Linked DNA regions of Oryctolagus cuniculus. The protein of the gene in region 1 interacts with the protein of each later gene in a pairwise test. Links are inferred from orthologs where the notes say so. Each region holds a gene or a part of one and is shown in the gene's direction. Other genes may lie near its edges. The genes, in order: HSPD1, SAMD3, TMCC2, CEP70 and LZTS2.

The links.
Region 2: the proteins of HSPD1 (region 1) and SAMD3 interact in binary tests that used the Homo sapiens proteins (3 or more experiments, as listed by UniProt). The two-hybrid records come from large-scale screens. The link is inferred for Oryctolagus cuniculus from reciprocal best matches to the Homo sapiens genes HSPD1 and SAMD3.
Region 3: the proteins of HSPD1 (region 1) and TMCC2 interact in a two-hybrid assay, tested with the Homo sapiens proteins (2 studies listed by BioGRID). The two-hybrid records come from large-scale screens. The link is inferred for Oryctolagus cuniculus from reciprocal best matches to the Homo sapiens genes HSPD1 and TMCC2.
Region 4: the proteins of HSPD1 (region 1) and CEP70 interact in binary tests that used the Homo sapiens proteins (3 or more experiments, as listed by UniProt). The two-hybrid records come from large-scale screens. The link is inferred for Oryctolagus cuniculus from reciprocal best matches to the Homo sapiens genes HSPD1 and CEP70.
Region 5: the proteins of HSPD1 (region 1) and LZTS2 interact in binary tests that used the Homo sapiens proteins (3 or more experiments, as listed by UniProt). The two-hybrid records come from large-scale screens. The link is inferred for Oryctolagus cuniculus from reciprocal best matches to the Homo sapiens genes HSPD1 and LZTS2.

What each region holds. Positions count from the first base shown.
Region 1 is NC_091434.1:42,771,210-42,774,727, forward strand, and holds part of HSPD1 (60 kDa heat shock protein, mitochondrial), read left to right. Parts: coding exon 1-110; intron 111-1,529; coding exon 1,530-1,629; intron 1,630-2,560; coding exon 2,561-2,806; intron 2,807-3,511; coding exon 3,512-3,518. UniProt on the Homo sapiens protein: Chaperonin implicated in mitochondrial protein import and macromolecular assembly. Together with Hsp10, facilitates the correct folding of imported proteins.
Region 2 is NC_091436.1:38,930,243-38,933,760, forward strand, and holds part of SAMD3 (sterile alpha motif domain-containing protein 3), read left to right. Parts: intron 1-2,444; coding exon 2,445-2,552; intron 2,553-3,518.
Region 3 is NC_091444.1:20,627,807-20,630,431, forward strand, and holds the end of TMCC2 (transmembrane and coiled-coil domains protein 2), read left to right. Parts: intron 1-538; coding exon 539-674; intron 675-923; coding exon 924-1,235; 3' UTR 1,236-2,123; downstream 2,124-2,625.
Region 4 is NC_091435.1:143,243,388-143,246,905, forward strand, and holds part of CEP70 (centrosomal protein of 70 kDa), read left to right. Parts: intron 1-488; coding exon 489-635; intron 636-815; coding exon 816-984; exon of another isoform or gene 985-1,285; intron 1,286-1,633; coding exon 1,634-1,748; intron 1,749-3,090; coding exon 3,091-3,170; intron 3,171-3,518.
Region 5 is NC_091446.1:28,872,960-28,877,223, reverse strand, and holds the start of LZTS2 (leucine zipper putative tumor suppressor 2), read left to right. Parts: upstream 1-1,460; 5' UTR 1,461-1,705; intron 1,706-1,843; exon of another isoform or gene 1,844-2,568; 5' UTR 2,569-2,638; coding exon 2,639-2,689; intron 2,690-4,264. UniProt on the Homo sapiens protein: Negative regulator of katanin-mediated microtubule severing and release from the centrosome. Required for central spindle formation and the completion of cytokinesis.

The sequences.
Region 1 (3,518 bases):
GTCCAATCCATCGTACCTGCTCTTGAAATTGCCAATGCTCACCGTAAGCCCCTGGTCATAATTGCTGAAGATGTTGATGGAGAAGCTCTGAGTACACTTGTTTTGAATAGGTAATAAGCAGTGTATTTGATACTTCACATTTCCTGATGAAGAACTTGTATTGATGTTTGAAATCTCCATTATGTTCCTCCATATTCTATCAACCTGTGTTTGTATCTAGATTTGTAGTGTATATGAAAGTTCTTTACAAAATTTGTGTAAAAAGCCTCTTATGGAAAAAACTGCATGGTTTTAAATTGTTTCTTTGGACCAAACTATCTTTAGTTCTATTTTTTATCAGCTTTTTGGAGTACAGGTGTGCTGCTTGCATCTTCATGTTTCAGAAGACTTTAAGAATTATTTTTATTTATTTGAAAGACAACATCAGGGAGAGATGTCCATCACTGGTTCACTCCCTAAATGACTGCAACAGCCAGGGCTGGTCTAGGCTGAAGCCAGGAGCCTGAAACTCCATCTGGGTCTCCTATGTGGGTCACAGGGGCCCAAATACTTGGGCCATCTTCCACTGCTTTCCTGGATACATTAGCAGGGAGCTAAATTGGAAGCAAAGCAGTTGCTACTCAAACGGTGTTCTAATGTGGGATGCAGGTGTCACAGGCAGCAGTTTAACCTACTGTGCCACAAGCGAGCCCCGAGGAACACAAGGTAATTTTGCATGGAACAAGGAAGGAAGGAAATAATTGCCATTATAAAAACCTCATCCCTTAGTGTATTTAGTGATAAGTATTTCATATTCTCAAGTGAGAGAAATTAACACTCAACCTAAAATAAGATGAAGTCTATTCAACAAGTTTATAGTTTAATATTGGTTTTAACCTTGAAATAAGTAATGGTCATATTCTAAACAGTGCAAAGTTTTTGTTGAGCTGTTTACCGGTAGCTCTAAAGTCTTTGCCCAGTTTTCATAGCATATCATCATAGCTTATCCTAGTTTTTTATTTGTCTCAGTAAAATAGAGCGACACTGTCTTAAAGTTTTGTTCACAATCTGCTCTCTAATGGACATTTCTTTGATTATGATATTTCAAGTATTCATTTACCTGATAAAATTTCAGGTGAGTTTAACACTACAGTTTTGTATAACATTTATAAAAGAGCTAAATTTGGGACATTCTTTGTTCAAACTTAACTTTAACAATAACCCATAGAAGTCTTCATTAGATTACTCATTTACTTTTAATATTTTATAATTATTGTTTTCCATCACTCATAAAATAGTTGCTAATATGTCCTTAATTGTAATGTGATTTTTGCTTCTGGGTTCAGCGGTTCAACTGGAATGTGAGGCCAGCAGTTTATTAAGAAGGTAATCAGCTACAAAGAAGTATAGATGAGTAGAATATAGCTCTGTCTCCTACTTTTCCTCTTTTAATATGAACAGTTCTGGTAGTACCAGGACTTGAGAGGAACTAAACTAGATAGTAGGTATTTTTATTCAATTTAAGTCTCACCGTCTTCTGTCCTTAACAGGCTAAAAGTTGGTCTTCAGGTTGTAGCAGTCAAAGCTCCAGGTTTTGGTGACAATAGAAAGAACCAGCTTAAAGATATGGCTATTGCTACTGGTGGTGCAGTAAGTAAACTTAAGTTTTATATTTGTTTACTGAATGTTATTTATATTTCCAGGTCTAAAATTTAGAGAGAATTTAATTTTTCACAATTAGTTACTGTTTATTTTTAATTTTTAAAATTTATTTTTAAAAGACTTATTTATTTATTTGAAAGGCAGAGTTATAAGGAAAGGGGGGAGAGAGAGAGATCTTCCATCCATTGGTTCACTCTTCAAATGACCACAGTGGCCAGCGCTGGGCTATCTTCTGCTGCTTTTATCTCTGATTTGCCATGTTTTTGGCTTACTAAGAATGAGCTTTTTTACTAAATCTGCTTTCAGTTTTGAAAGTCAATAATGTGATAAAAAATAATCCATTGTGGGATTAAAGAATTTCAGCCTGGCCGGCGCCACGGCTCAGTAGGCTAATCCTCCGCCTTGTGGCGCCAGCACACCGGGTTCTAGTCCCGGTCGGGGCACCCGATTCTGCCCCGGTTGCCCCTCTTCCAGGCCAGCTCTCTGCTGTGGCCAGGGAGTGCAGTGGAGGATGGCCCAAGTGCTTGGGCCCTGCACCCCATGGGAGACCAGGAGAAGTACCTGGCTCCTGCCATCGGATCAGCGCAGTGCACTGGCCGCGGCGGCCATTGGAGGGTGAACCAACGGCAAAGGGAAGACCTTTCTCTCTGTCTCTCTCTCACTGTCCACTCTGCCTGTCAAAAAAAAAAAAAAAAAAAGAATTTCAGCTTATGGTCGGTATAGTCTCCCTTCCTTCAATAAGTGTGGCATTGAGTATTTCTCAAATTAGAATAATAGTGACTGGTAGAGTTGTGAAAACTGAGATGTTGAAAATGCAATGAAAGACAATTTAAATCTTCTTATAGACTTATGTTGGTCTTGAAGTCTGTTCATTTCAAAGAAGTACAGTATGATAACTTACAACTTTAAAATGTTGTAGGTATTTGGAGAAGAGGGATTGACCCTAAATCTTGAAGATGTTCAACCTCATGACTTAGGAAAAGTTGGAGAAGTCATTGTGACCAAAGATGATGCTATGCTTTTGAAAGGAAAAGGTGACAAGGCTCAAATTGAAAAACGTATTCAAGAAATCATCGAGCAGTTAGACATCACGACTAGTGAATATGAAAAAGAAAAACTGAATGAACGTCTTGCAAAGCTTTCAGATGGAGTAGCTGTGCTAAAGGTGAGATTCACTGTTGTATTGATTTTTGCTTCTATAGTATTTCCCAGTAGTACTGTGGAACCTAAATATTTGAGGGAGTAATGTGCTCATGGCAATATTCATTATGTAAAATTGTTTACCGAAACATTGCTTTTGTAAACTAGTTTTATGGGGGGAAATTGCTGTGGGAAAGATGCTCATGAGAAAGTCATTCTGGAATCTGTCTTTTGTGGGTTGTTGCAGTTCCTTTTAACAAGTAGGCAACATTTTTCCCCCCTTAAAATTGCATTTTAAGTAAACTGGATAGTTGTGTTTTTTTGTTTTTTTTTTAAGATTTATTTATTTATTTGAAAGTCAGAGTTACACAGAGAGAGGAGAGGCAGAGAAAGAGATCTTCTGTCCGATGGTTCATTCCCCAGATGGCCGAAATGGCTGGAGCTGTGCTGATCCAGAGCCAGGAGCTTCTTCCAGGTCTCCCACGTGGGTGCAGGGGCCCAAGGACTAGGGCCTTCTTGCACTGCTTTCCCAGGCCACAGCAGAGAGCTGGATCAGAAGTGGAGCAGCAGGGACTAGAACCAGCGCCCATATGGGATGCTGACACCTCAGGCCAGGGCTTTAACCCACTGCACTGCAGCGCTGGCTCCTGGATGATCTCTAAATGACCTTTTAGGTAGTCCACATCTTGAATGGGAGGAGCCATACTAACTGAAACTTCTGGAACTTCAGGTTGGTG
Region 2 (3,518 bases), on another chromosome or scaffold:
TTTTTGGATAGGTCAGACTTGTGAGTGGAAGTTCTTTCAGTTGACTGGAATCTTGATATTGCCTTAGGCACAGCTAGGAGAAAACAGGCAAGTTTGTCTACTGTAGATCAGTGTATGCTATTGTCTAGTCAATGAGAACTGACCGCACTGCCAGGGAATCTGGGCTTCATTCCTGGTTCTACCACTGACTTAGACTGATGATTTTCAAAGTTGGCACTCCCATGTCTTCGTCTGTGAAAAGCAATGCGCTACCTAAGTCCTTATTAATTTACACTGATGTTACAAGTATATTAATCTTCCAGAGAATCAGCTCCCTTTCTCAGCCAAAACAGTCCTGTGCTCATTATCAAGCTTTGTTAACCTGGTTAAGAAAGCTGGTTGCAAATGTAGCCAAGTCTTTCAAGACTTGCTGTCCAGTAGGGGCTTTCCACTCTATCCGCTAGGCATGAGTCACTTGAAGGATTGTGTTGCCTGGCATTTGGGTTAAATTAGTGTTATGAAATCACAATTGCCTGTGAGTAGAATGCTTATTGTTTGTATGAGTGTACTTCAAAAAGATTGTGGAAAAATTGAATTAAAATATAAGTATATTTTTGCACAAAAGGATTTTGAAATCCATAAGGAAACTTTTCATAATATGCTTTTCCCACCAACTTTTTGAAAACCCTTGATATTCACTCACTACTAAGTATTTTGTTATAACTTCAAGTGTGAATGATGATTGAAAGAAGCATGGATATATGTCATTTAATTAATGCCTGTTGGAAAGTGCTTAATAAAGATAGACGTGGTATAAGAAGACATCCTAAAGCTGGCTATCAAAGCACTCAGTTTCACACCCCTGATAGGATGTTAGATAGTCCTCTCACCTTGACTTCTCCTAGTTTCAACTTCAACTGTAAAATCAAGTGGGGAGCATAAATGATGCTTTAGGTTGGCATTCTAGATTACAGATAGCAGATGGGTTTCAACTTGAGTGACATTCCACTTCCTGGGTAATGCTGCCCAGGGCATTATTTTGAAAAGCATCCTTAGGGCATATTTGGGCAGAGTATTTGGCATCCTATTTAGACTTAAGAGAATGATTGAACTATGCAATAGGTGAGACTATTTACTGGTATTTTTGGTTGTTGCTCTTGTTGAAGCTGCTAGAAAAATCACTGGACTGGATGTTGGAAAAACTGATCTGAAACCTTGTCACTGCTACTGTGCAGCCTGTGACCATGAGTGAGCTGTTCTCCCTCCTGGATTCCAGTTGCTTCACTTGGAAAATGAGGATGTTAGTGGAATATGGTTCTAAGATTATGAGATTTCACAAAGAATAAAATGTCCTCCAAAATGACAACAAGTAGAGAAGGGATCACATAGAGTTTACCATTTTATTTTACCAAGTAAGAATATTAACTTAAAAAAGATACATTCTATTGTCATTATCATTTCAGAAAGGAAAGGATGATCCTAACACCATTTTTTATTTTGCAAACACTTTCTTTTTTTAAAAAACTTTTATTGTATAAATATAAATTTCTGAAGTACAACTTTTGGATTATAGCAGCTTTCCCCCCCCATAACCTCCCTCCCACCCGCAACCATCCCATTTCCCACTCCCTCTCCCATCCCATTCACATCATGATTCATTTTCAATTATCTTTATATACAGAAAATCAATTTAGTATATATTAAGTAAAGATTTCAACAGTTTACACCCACACAGAAATACAAAGTATAAAGTACTGTGTGAGTACTAGTTATACCATTTAATTCACATAGTACAACACATTAAGGACAGAGATCCTACATGGGAGTATGACGTCAGTAATCACCCGAGGCTCTTGTCATGAGCTACCAAGGTTATGGAAGCCTCTTGAATTTGCCAACTGCGATCTTATTTAGATAAGGCCATAGTCAAAGTGGAAGTTCTCTCCTCCTTTCAGAGAAAGGTACCTCCTTCCTTGATGGCCTGTTCTTTCCGCTGGGACTTCACTCACAGAGATCTTTCATTTAGGTCATTTTTTTGTTTGTTTGCTAGATTGTCTTGGCTTTCCATGCCTGAAATACTCTCATGGGCTTTTTAGCCAGATCTGAATGCCTTAAGGGCTGATTCTGAGGCCAGAGTGCTATTTAGGGCATCTGCCATTCTATGAGTCTACTGTGTATCCCGCTTCCCATGTGATCCTAACACCATTTAAAAATATGATAGATGGGTGAAAGTAGTATGATGAACTGGCATCGCTCTCCCTCCCTACTTATAGGAACCACTGAGTGAGATGACTCCAGAGGGTCCTTCTTCCAAGTATCTTAGTTATGAGGCTCGTGGGGAGCTTGGACATGGACAGAGATCATGTTACCTGCGATTTGACCTCTAATCTCAGAGCTGCTATCAGATCAATGCTTATAGCTCCTGTTGAATAGCGCTTGACCCACCTCTTCTTTCTTGGTTACAGAGATGAACAGTCTTCCAGTCTAGCCAGCTGTGAGGAACAGACACCATCGTTTTACCCAGCTGACAACCTAGATAATGGACAAATCGACCAAAGAGTATTGAAACAGAGGTAAAGTGCTGACTGTATATATATTGAAGCCAAATGATAACATTCTTTTTGAAATGAGCTTTCTTGTGTTTAAATATATTTCTAATGTTAGGTGTTTTGCTATCCTGGAAGGGAATTTTATTGTCAAGTAGTGAAAATATTTGCTAAAAGATAAAGGTTATATTTTATGATCTTCACATTGGAAAAGCAAAGTTCTAAAATTATACATATCCTTCAAGTACATATACTTAAGATAAAAGAGGATTTCTCTGCCATAAACTGCCATAAACTGCAAAAGATGATGTTTATTTCATGAATAATGTTCTGTAGAATAGGCCTTTAGTGGAGTCTTTGTTCTGAATTTTGTAGTTGTTGCTTTAGCTTGACTATTCTTGATAGCAACCCAGTTTTGGAAAACTTTTCCTTTATATTTCTACACTGGATTTTATATGGTACAGTATTTCAATATATGGCTTACGTTAGAATAAAGGGAATGTATAGACCTAGAGAAGCATACACAGGAATGTGGAGCCCAGACAGTCTCAAGAGCGATGGTAGGTAACGTGTGGCCAAGTTCCTCAATCATTGAAAGAGGGGCTGTTGCAAAGGGAGAATAACAGGTAAGAGCCAAGCAAGGTGCGACCTCTTATAGTTCTCACAAACCCTTTATGTTGCCATCTCATTTAGTCCACACAGCAATCCTGCAGAGTAGGTGTTATTTTCTCTTCTGTGAGTGAAACTTAGTTTTAGAGAAGAAGTTTTCCTGAATGGCTTTGTCACCTTGGCACAGGATCCACAACCATCAGGGCAAGAGCACCAGCCTCAGACTCAGGTCTGTGAGGTCCCAGCAACCCCATGTGTGCAGAGAAGAGCAGCTCTTCTCATATGAACTCTTGCATGGGTATTGGCTCTGGGCTGTCCTCTCTGAACTGTTTCCCTCTCTACCACCTCCAGCCTCCCATGCCAGTGCTCAGGTCCATCTCCTTG
Region 3 (2,625 bases), on another chromosome or scaffold:
CAGGTGCTTCTCCTGGTCTCCCATGGGGTGCAGGGCCCAAGCACTTGGGCCATCCTCCACTGCACTCCCTGGCCACAGCAGAGAGCTGGCCTGGAAGAGGGGCAACCGGGACAGAATCCGGTGCCCCAACCGGGACTAGAACCTGGTGTGCCAGCGCCGCAAGGCGGAGGATTAGCCTAGTGAGCCGTGGCGCTGGCCAAAAAATAAGCTTTTGATTCCATTTTTCCACCAGCCTCTGGAAGGACCTCGTAAGTAAGGAAGGTTTGGGTTGTGCAGCGGTCAGCCAGGCTGAAGGCAGCCAGGCCCGAATGCCTCCCTGCCCCAGCTGTGTGATCCTGGGCAGAGCAGGCTCCTTACCAGCTGTGCCTCAGTCTTCCTGTCTGTACAATGGGTACAGCATGTCCTGTCTGGGGCAGGAGTGGTGGGGGTGGTGTGGATCGAAGGCCGAGCACGAGGCCTGCCTGTGGACACATGGGGTGGGCCGAGTGACCGTTTCGAGAAGGAGCCAGGCCAGCCCTCAGCCCCTTCCCTGTCCCAGGTACGAGCGGCTGGAGGAGCAGCTCAACGACCTGACCGAGCTGCACCAGAACGAGATGACAAACCTGAAGCAGGAGCTGGCCAGCATGGAGGAGAAGGTGGCCTACCAGTCCTACGAGCGGGCACGGGACATCCAGGTGGGTGGGGACAGAGCTCAGAGGGGGAGGGAGGGAGGCAGGCCCGGGGCTGGGGGGGGGGGCACCGTGCAACGGCAGGCCGCGGGGGAGGACTGCTGTGCCCCCAGCTCTGCTGGCAGCCCGAGAGAGCTGGGCTGGGCCGGCTCCTCTCCTTCCCGCACACTCCTTTCCTAATAAGCCTTGTCCTTGCTGGGAGGGCTGGGTGGGGCCGGGGTCCCGCCCCCCTGAGCTCCCCTGCGCCCCCTGCAGGAGGCCGTGGAGTCCTGCCTGACCCGGGTCACCAAGCTGGAGCTGCAGCAGCAGCAGCAGCAGGTGGTGCAGCTGGAGGGCGTGGAGAACGCCAACGCGCGGGCACTGCTGGGCAAGTTCATTAACGTGATCCTGGCGCTCATGGCCGTGCTGCTGGTGTTCGTGTCCACCGTGGCCAGCTTCATCACGCCGCTCATGAAGACGCGCCTGCGCATCGGCAGCACCGCCCTGCTGCTCCTCGTCCTGCTCCTCCTCTGGAAGCACTGGGACTCCGTCACCTACCTCCTGGAGCACGTGCTGCTGCCCAGCTGAGCGGCCCGCCCGCCCCCGCCCCCGCCCCCGCCGTGCTGCCCGCCCGCTGGCCACACTTCTCCAGGGGGGACCCCGGGACTCCCAGGTCCCTTCGACTTCTTCCCGTCCGTTCCAGCAGCTCCTGCCCCTCCTCTGCCCCTGCTTCTGTCTCTCGCCTTCTCCCTGCTGGCCTAAAGAAAGCTCCATGTGAGACACGGGCGGCCAGGTGGAGCCGGAGGGGACGGCGGCACTGGACTGTGGCCATGATGTCTGTCTCCTGGCCACCCGCAGGATGGCCGGGCTCAGGAGGGCCACCGAGAAGAGGAGGAGGAAGAGGAGGGGCTGCGCCCCCCGAGGCAGCTGCCGGGAGCCCAGGCCCTCGCCCCACTTGCTCCAGGCCTGGTTCTGGGCTGCCTTGAGCCCGGTGGACGTGGCTCGAGCCTTCCTGCCTGTCGCTGGATCTGCCACTTTCAGGGAAACAGGCTCGGGGGGCGGGGGGCCCAGCCTCAGCCCTGAGGCCTCCTGCAGCACACCGGGCTCTGTTTGTTTATTTATTTGTCCCCTTGTCCCTTACCCCCGTCTTCCCCGCCGAGCCCCTCTCTCTGGAGCCGGGGCCTGTTCTGGCCACGCGGCCTCTGCCTGGTCCCGGCTGCAGGCGGGGGCTCCCGGCGGGAGCGTGGCCTCTCTTTTATACGTCTATTTATTTTGTACGTGTGTACCTGTGTGCAGGAGGGTGTCTGTCTCTGTGTTTTTTTAAGGCTCCCGAGTGTCGTGTATGGATTCTCTTCACGTCCCAGCCTCCCCATGGGCACTTTCCAGAGGGGGGATCTCTCGGGAAAGGAGCGGGAGAGCAGTGCCTGCGGCCGCTGTGCACCTCCCTGGGAAATAAACACCCTCTCGGTTTTCAAACCGTCCTGTCTGGCGTTGGCTGATTCGCTGGTCTCTGCAAGACCCAGCCTTCTGGGTGACAAGGGCTGGGCCACACCTGTTGGCCTGTGCTCATCTTACTCTAGGATCTCCCTGCCTGGCTTTGTGCAGCCCAAACTCTGGCCTCGGTGATGTGATAGGGAGAGGCGACGTCAGCCCTCTCCAGCTCCATCCAGCCCTCCTGGAGCGCCTCCCAGAAAGAGACTTGGGAGGGAGTTTGTTGAGCAGATAATAAGGCACCAGGGGCCTGGATGACAGCAGTCATGCCCAAGTGTGGCCACAAGAGGGCAGCAGAGACCTTACTCCACGCATCTGGCTCTCGCTCTCACTCTCTCACTTTCTTTCTCTCTCTCTCTCTGGTCCCCAGGAGGCCACCTTGGGGGCTAGCCTGGCCTTATCAAGGTATTTGCTCACCAGGCACCCGTGTGTGTTCTGAAGTAGTGTCTGCCCCCTGCCTGTGGCCCCCACTCCCAGTGGTTCCCAC
Region 4 (3,518 bases), on another chromosome or scaffold:
CGAGTCGTCATGAGGTTTCTTTTGAGGGTGATGAGTATGCTCTGAAATTAGTGATGAAATTTGCTCATTACTGTAGTAATACTAAAAATACTGAATTATATATTCAATAGGTATTAACTTTATGGTATGTGATCATCTCAATAAAGCTATCATAAAAAAATCCAAAACTAAAATATAAGGGTAAACTTATTATTTATGTGTCAGTCATTCAAATATATATTTAAATAACATGTAATAATAATAAGATGTCATTACTTTAGCATACAAATTCAGGAAAATCAATGTATAATATTTTGGCAAAGCTTATATTTACCTGAAGAAACCTAGTTTTAAAAAACACTTGTTCTAAATTGGTAATAGTATGTTTTATAAAACATATAATTGGGCTATATATTTTTTAAGCTGCTTGGATAATTGTGTTTTATTAGTGTTACTGTAGAAATATTTACATAAATCAATAATACCATGTAGTTTCTTCTGTTATAAAGGATTTGTATAAGTCCTTGAAAATACTATCTGCAGAGCTGGTACCTTGGCATAATTTAAGGAAGCAGGATGAAAATGAAGGAATCAGAGTTGGTGATCTGTTATTTATGGTAGATACCATGTTGGAAGAAGTTGAAAATAAGGAAAAGGTAATATTTATTTTTATAAATGTTCAAAATGTAATATACTTTTATCTTAAAATTTTATATGGATATTACATATTCTACTAACATTCTATTTCTCTTTTAAAATAAGTGTTTTTTAATTAAACATTTGGGATTATTTTAAAATGTCTACTGTATTTCTTTCCCACCCTCTCTTTTGGACAGGACAGCAAAGTACCAAACTTTCAAACTTTGCAAGCTATTGTCTCTCACTTCCAAAAATTATTTGATGTACCTTCTTTAAATGGAGTCTATCCCCGAATGAATGAAGTTTACACTAGGCTTGGAGAAATGAGCAATGCTGTGAGAAACCTCCAGGAACTCCTAGAATTAGGTGATGGCCTTTGTCATTTTTGGTCCCCATTTAATAATTATTTCTAATTAACAAAAGCAAGGTAAAAAGAGGACAACTGGAGCATAAAATAATTTATCTTTTTTTTTTTTTTTAACTTGTCAAAGACTAAGATTTGCCATCTACTAGTTCACTTTCCAGATGTCTGTAACAGTTGGTGCTGGGCCAGGCTGAAGCCAGAATCTGGGAACCCAATCTGGGTTTCCCATGTGGGTGACTAGTAGTAGGAAGCTGGAATTGGGAGCGGAGACAGGACTCAAACCCAGGCACTCTGATATGAGATGTAGGTGTCTTGGACAATATCTTCACCACTGTGCTTAATGTCCTTTCCTGAAGCCTAAAATGTTTGGTAGCTGTACTGATTTTGAAAATTCTCTTTTTAAGTATCCTACCTGCTTTATAAAATTTACTTATTATAGAGCAAGCTTCTGTCTGCTGGTTCACTCCCCAAATGCCCACAATGGCCAGTGGCCATCACCACTGCCTCCCATGGGCCACATTAGCAGGAAACAAATCAGGAACTGGAGCTGGAGCCAGGCATTGAACTAACACACTCTGGCATCCCAGCCACCAACTTAACTGCTAGGCCAAGCACTCCTAAATATCCTGTCCTTTTGTTTCTTTTTTGCAGATAGTTCATCATCAATGTGTGTGTTGGTAAGCACAGTTGGAAAACTGTGTAGTCTGATTAATGAGGATGTGAACGAGCAGGTTAAGCAAGTATTAGGACCTGAAGATCTCCAGAGGTATTTGTTTGAACAGTATCATCTGTAGTGCTAGAAGTTGTAAAATTACAGACTTGAAAAGATAACATAAGTTATCTACCTTCTGTTTTTGGAATATCCTCTTTTAAGTAACTTAACAACCTAAAATAAACTCACATCCATAGGAACAGGGAAAATGCCAGGTCATTTCAAAATAACAGATTGTAGGGCCTTTAAGTTTCCATAAGGTGGGTCAGGAGTTCTTCAGCATAAACCTAAAGTTATATATGGAGAAATGCCAAACTTTTTAGCCATTTCATGAGTTCTGGATTATGTCAACAAGCCTTTTTTTTTTTTTTTTTTTTTAATTTATTTATTTGAAAGTCAGAATTAGAGATTTTCCATCATCTGGCTCAGTCCTCAAATGACCACAATAGCCAGAGTGGAGCCCATCTAGGCCAAACTGAAGCCAGGAGCTTCTTCTAGGTCTCCCACATGTGTACAGGTACACAAGCATTGGGCCATCTTCCACTGCTTTCCCAGGCACATTGGCAGGGTGCTAGATTGGAAGTGGAGCAACTGGGACTTGAACTGGTGCCCATATGGGATGCCAGTGCCACAGGTGGTGCCTTCACTGGCCATACCACGGTGCAGGCCCCAACAAGACCTATTTTTAGCATACTGCTGTAGATCACATAATAATCACTAACAGTATTTTACTGTTAAGGAGATAAGTGTTAAGGATTTTTTAAAAGACTAGGCACCACTAACAAAACTTAATGTTTGTTAAAAATACTGAGACACTATGGCTGTACCTACAGCAACTTTCTCCATCCCTTACCCCCAATTTTGTACTATAATATATGGTAAGGAAAGTACACATATATACCAGATACTTCATATATTCTGTAACTTTCCCTGGAATAACCAGTATATAACCTGACACTTGAGTTTGCTGATGTTTGATGCTTTTAAAATCAAAATATATCCCATATTGGCTTTTTTCTCCTTCCCATGGTTTTGTTGATTACTGCTAGTTTTATTAATGTTTAATAGGCTACTGGTTATAAAAACTTATTTTTTTAAAAATGTTTAAAAAATATTTCCTAAGAAGCCTAGAGCTAAATGAAAAGTTTGCCATGTTAGGATTTTTGTTACATAAATTTAACAAGTATCTACACTGATAATATTCCTTTTTTTTTTTTTTAAGAAATGCAGTCTTAGGTGAACAAAGAGGTCAAAAAGGAAGGATTATAGTATTTTGATCATTAATTGGCATAGTATCTTTGTGGTTTGAAAATGTTCTGTTTGCATCCATGTCTGCAACTACATGTAACAACCATAAGTTGAAATCTTGGTGTAAATTGTGTGTTTTTTAAAACAGCATTATCAAGAAGTTAGAAGAACATGAGGAATTTTTCCCAGCATTTCAGGCATTTACCAACGATCTTCTTGAAATCTTAGGTAAGACCTCTGTTGATAATGATTAAATTTTGAGTTTTAAGATGTCAGTGGGTTGAATATAAGTGTTCCTTGGTCACTGGGTTAGTATTTTTGCTTCCAGTGTTTTTTAGAAATTGTCTGAAAATCACCAAATTTTGGAAATAACCTCCTAATTTGTAGTTAAAGTTGGATGGGATTCGTTCACAGAGCAGGGAAACACAGACTCTTTAAGGAGATCGGGACTGCCTTTGTTTTGGGGCCTTCTGAGAAAAATGGCAGTACTCTGGTCATGCCCAGTTGATCCTGGCATTGTCATTGCATAATAAGAAATCTTGGTAGAATTTATGATCTTGGAAGGCATCCAACTCC
Region 5 (4,264 bases), on another chromosome or scaffold:
GGAGCCAAGGGAGCCGGGCTGGTGCCTCGCTCCCCGGCCCCACCCCCCAGCACTCCACCATGCTGATCCCAGCTGCTGCCTGAGCCTCCGGGCGCGCTGCCAGCAAGGGGAGGCGGCTCTGAGTGCCCCAGGAGGCCGGGATCAGGGCACGACCAGAGGAAGGGGCTCTCCACTGGGGAAGGGGCTCAGTCTGTTTTTGCGAAGCTGAGGGTCTGGGGTGAGCCTGAGGTTGGCTGGGCTATGTTTCCCTTTCCAGGGAAAAAGAAAGAAAAACAACCCATCGAGCTAAAAATAGAGCTGAGCGCCGGCCAGGGCTGTGGCCTGGAAGGGGGGGATGCTCCTTCCTGGGGCAGAGCCCAGCTCTGGCTGGCCTTGGCCCTGCGGGGGAGGGCTGCCGTCTGGGCGAGGGAGGCCGTCCTCGCCAAGGCCAGCGGGCATCAGCTGACCTGGCCAGGTCACAGAGACCCCTAAGGAAAGGTCTGTGTGATAGAGTGCATGCAAAACACGGTGTGCAGTATGAGAAGCTGTTTGTGAGTACTGCGAGGCTGTCAGCATGTGAAAGATGCTGGGAGGTGCGAGGGCCTGCGAGTTGTTGTGAAAGACTTAATGCACAACCGGTGTGACGCGGGGCTGCGCGGGAGCTGGCCTGGGAGTGCATGGAAGGAGGCCTGGGGGACCACGTGACGGATGAAGCTCTGCGATTGCGGCTGCCCGAGACTGAATGTGGGAAAGGTCGTGTGGGTGTTAAGATGTTGTTTCCAAGAGGGTGAGCATATGCGTGACCCTGAGGAGACCGTGGAATGTTGTCTGGTGGGAAGCTGGTGTAGGCTTGGGCTGTGCCTTTCCACTGGGGAGGCCAGAAGCCGCCCTTCCCCGGGCAATGACCCTTCTCTTAGCCAGCGACTCCAAGGGAAAGTTGGGGAGTCCAGAGCCGCGCCAAGGGCAGGCCTGGGCTGGCGTCCACGGGCACGGGCTGTGGAGTGGGAGAAGACCCCCCTGGGTCGGGGGGCGAGTAGATGTGCTCTGAGAACCGACCGCCAGGTGGCGCCGCCTCCGCAGATCCTCGTGTACCGCCTCCAGCCCGCTGTGGGGTGGGCCAGGCAGGGACCTGGCCGCGGCCCCCGACTAGTGCTGGGGCGCAGGGCCCCGGCAGCCGAGGAGCGGCGGGCAGCTGACCCTCGGCTTCCCGCTCTGGACTCTGAAGCTGGAGAGTGTCTGGGGCGGGCTTCGATTAGAGAAGCGAGGGGGAGGGGCCGCCGCGCCGCGCCTTGGCCCTTTGTGCTCGAACAATGACCAGCTGCCGCTGGCCCCGGGGCCCGGCTCTGGTAGGGGGTGACCCGCCCGCCGAATCCACAGCCGACCGAGCCGTCCGACACGCAGTCACCGAGACTCGGCGGGAGGGGTCCCGCTCGCCGCCGCGCAGCCCCTGCGTGCGCCCCAGCAGACACGCGTGACGTGGGGTGCCTGCGCGTGTCCGCGCCCCGGGGCGGGGACGCCCCTCGGACCCCTCCCCCGCGCCGCCCCGCGCCGCGCCGCCCACTCGGGCCGGGAGGGGACTGGCCCGGGCCGGGTGCGCCGCCGAGGCGGAGGCGGGGCCCGGCCGGGTCGGGCCGCTCCGAGTGGCCGCGCGCGGGCCGGAGCCGGGCGGCGCGCCTGTGGAGCGCTTGGGGCGGCCCGGGGCTGAGCATGGAGCAGCGCGGCGGAGGTGAGGGGGAGGCCGGGGCCGGGAGGAGACCCGGGGTCGCCCCCAACTTCTGTGCGGCGGCGTCGGGAGGGGAGGCGGCGTTCGGCGGCCGCCGTGCTGGTGGGGGGGGGGGGTCGTCGGCTGAGTGGGGGTGGGCGGGGGGAGGGGTCCCGGCTTCCTGCCTCGGAATGGGAACTCGGATCCCAGACTTGAGCCTGCGTGACTGTTCTTGGAGTTGAGGTGGGAGGGCGACTTTCCCGAACTCCTCAGCCCCCAAAACAGGTCTGCGCGAGCTCGGAGCGCGGCCAGAGCCGTCGCTGGCCCTGGCTGAGCCCCAGCCCTCAGCCCTCCGTCCTGCCCACCGCGGCGATTACTCGGGAGAGCGAGGGGTTCCCTTTGCCCACAGCCACGGCGCATTTCTCAAAATGGAGCCTCGGCTTGCCCCTCCTTCTCAGTCGGGCTCTGAGAGCGGGAGTCCTACTGGCTGGGCCTGGCTGGCCGGCTTTCGTCGCTCTGGGTCTGGGGGGCCTTGGCCTCTTGCGGTTCCGGGGCCTGGCGCCATGGGCCGGCCTGCCTGGCTTCCTTGGCCGCCTGACCCCCGCGCCTCCCTGAGCCTTTGTCTCGGCCTTTGGCTCTTTCTCCGAGTGGGCCCATCGCCTTCCTTCAGTTTTCACTTTTCTCTGTGCTCCCTGAAGAGGAGAAATGCGGACAGAAATGCCAGCCCGCATGGCCCCCTTAGCAGCCCCTTCCCCCGTCCTGTCCGTGCCTTACGTGGCCCTGCAGAGGGAGGAGGAGGCTCCCGGGTGCCCGCGTTGCCCAGGGCTGGAGCTTGGGGTGCTGTCAGGCCCCAGCCCTGCAGCCAGGCCCACCATTGCTCCCAGCAGCTCCTCCGGCAGTCTGGACTGACACCGACCTGGTTCTTGGTGTCTTTTCACTTGGGTAGAGAGGAAAGGGATGAACTCGATGGAACACAAGCAAGAAAGAAGGGGAACAGCTCGGACAAAGGTGGTTCCCCCTCTCCCCACACTCCAGAGTGAAAACTGGCGGGTTCCCTCGCACTCCCCGGTGCCCGACATGCCTGCCCTCAGAGCCTTCTCTGTGGGTAACCCGGCTCTGGCCGGCCTGCTGTGCACACACAGGAGTTCGCGGGGGGGAACCCATGTCCTGGGTTCCTCTTCAGCATCTCAGCACACTCACCTGTTACCTGTGCATTTACTACTCCTGCGTACTTGCATGGTGACCCTTAATTACACACGCATACGTGTGAGGTTCACACGTTAGTTCACACCTAGACGGGTGTATGTATTGAACATGTCCAAACACACACTCATGTTTTCACACGCATTATTCCTGGCACGCAGTGCTCACTCTGCTGCCCCTGGGCATAAAGGCGGCCATGAAGACCTGTACACGCACACATTCCTACTCCCAGGAAGTTTTCTGTCCGCCTCCTTGGCCTGCACGTTCTGCATGATGATTTCGGCAGATGCCAGAGCCCTGGTGCTCTGCGGCCTCGGGACCGGAGGGAGTTCCCCAGGGAGGCTTGCTCTCCCCTTCCAGGAAGGAGCAGAGCCCGGGGAGGTGGTGAGGTCTTGGAGCAGCTGCCAGAAGTGATGGTGGGGCTTCCGCCTCCATCGGGGTTTCTCTGGAGATGGCGGAAGCTGGAAGCTTCTGATAGAGGTTGGAGTCGGGCAGCGCCCATGAAGGCTCCTTTAGGCCCCATGTCACACCCTGACTGGGTATGGAGAGGGTAGGGGTTGTCATAGAAACAAGCAAGTGCCTGCATCACCTCCAGGAGGCAGGTGTGTGTGCCCTGAGAGCTGTGGACTGCCTGTTTGGCCAGCTCCACCCTTGCCGCCTCTCTGTCTGGGAGAAACTGAGGCCCAATAGGGGGAGGTGGGGCGCTGCTTGGCCTTGGCTCTTTGTTCCCTAATTATTGTCTGAGTTGCTGGTGGTGTCCTTGAGGTTGTCGCTGCCCAAACTGCCCTGTAACGAGGCCACCTGTCCCAGGAGACTGGGGACCTGGGCCAGGTGCTGGGAGAGAGGGCTTCTTGCCTAACCTGAGTCCTGGTCTCCGTGGGGCTGCAGGTCTGGGTCTGGGCCTCCACTGCCAGGTGGCCCTGTGCAGGCTTCCGATCCCTTCATCTCTGCCTGGTGGCCCTGTGCAGACCAGGGAGCAGTGGTCTGGGGCCCAGAGAGAAATGAGATTCGTGCCAGTACTTGGAAGAGGAGCCTTGGGGGGGGGGGGGGGTCAGGGCGTTGTTACTCATGTCAGGAAGGCGTTTGGCCTGGATCAGGGGACAGCACAGGGACTCAAGGCCTTGTATAGGGAGAGGGTATAGGATGCTGGGATTCTTTTTGTTTTGTTTTGTTTTGACAGGCAGAGTGGACAGTGAGAGAGAGACAGAGAGAAAGGTCTTCCCTTGCCGTTGGTTTACCCTCCAATGGCCACCACGGCCGGCGCACTGCGCCTATCCGAAGGCAGGAGCCAGGTGCTTCTCCTGGTCTCCCATGGGGTGCAGGGCCCAAGCACTTGGGCCATCCTCCACTGCACTCCCAGGCCACAGCAGAGAGCTGGCC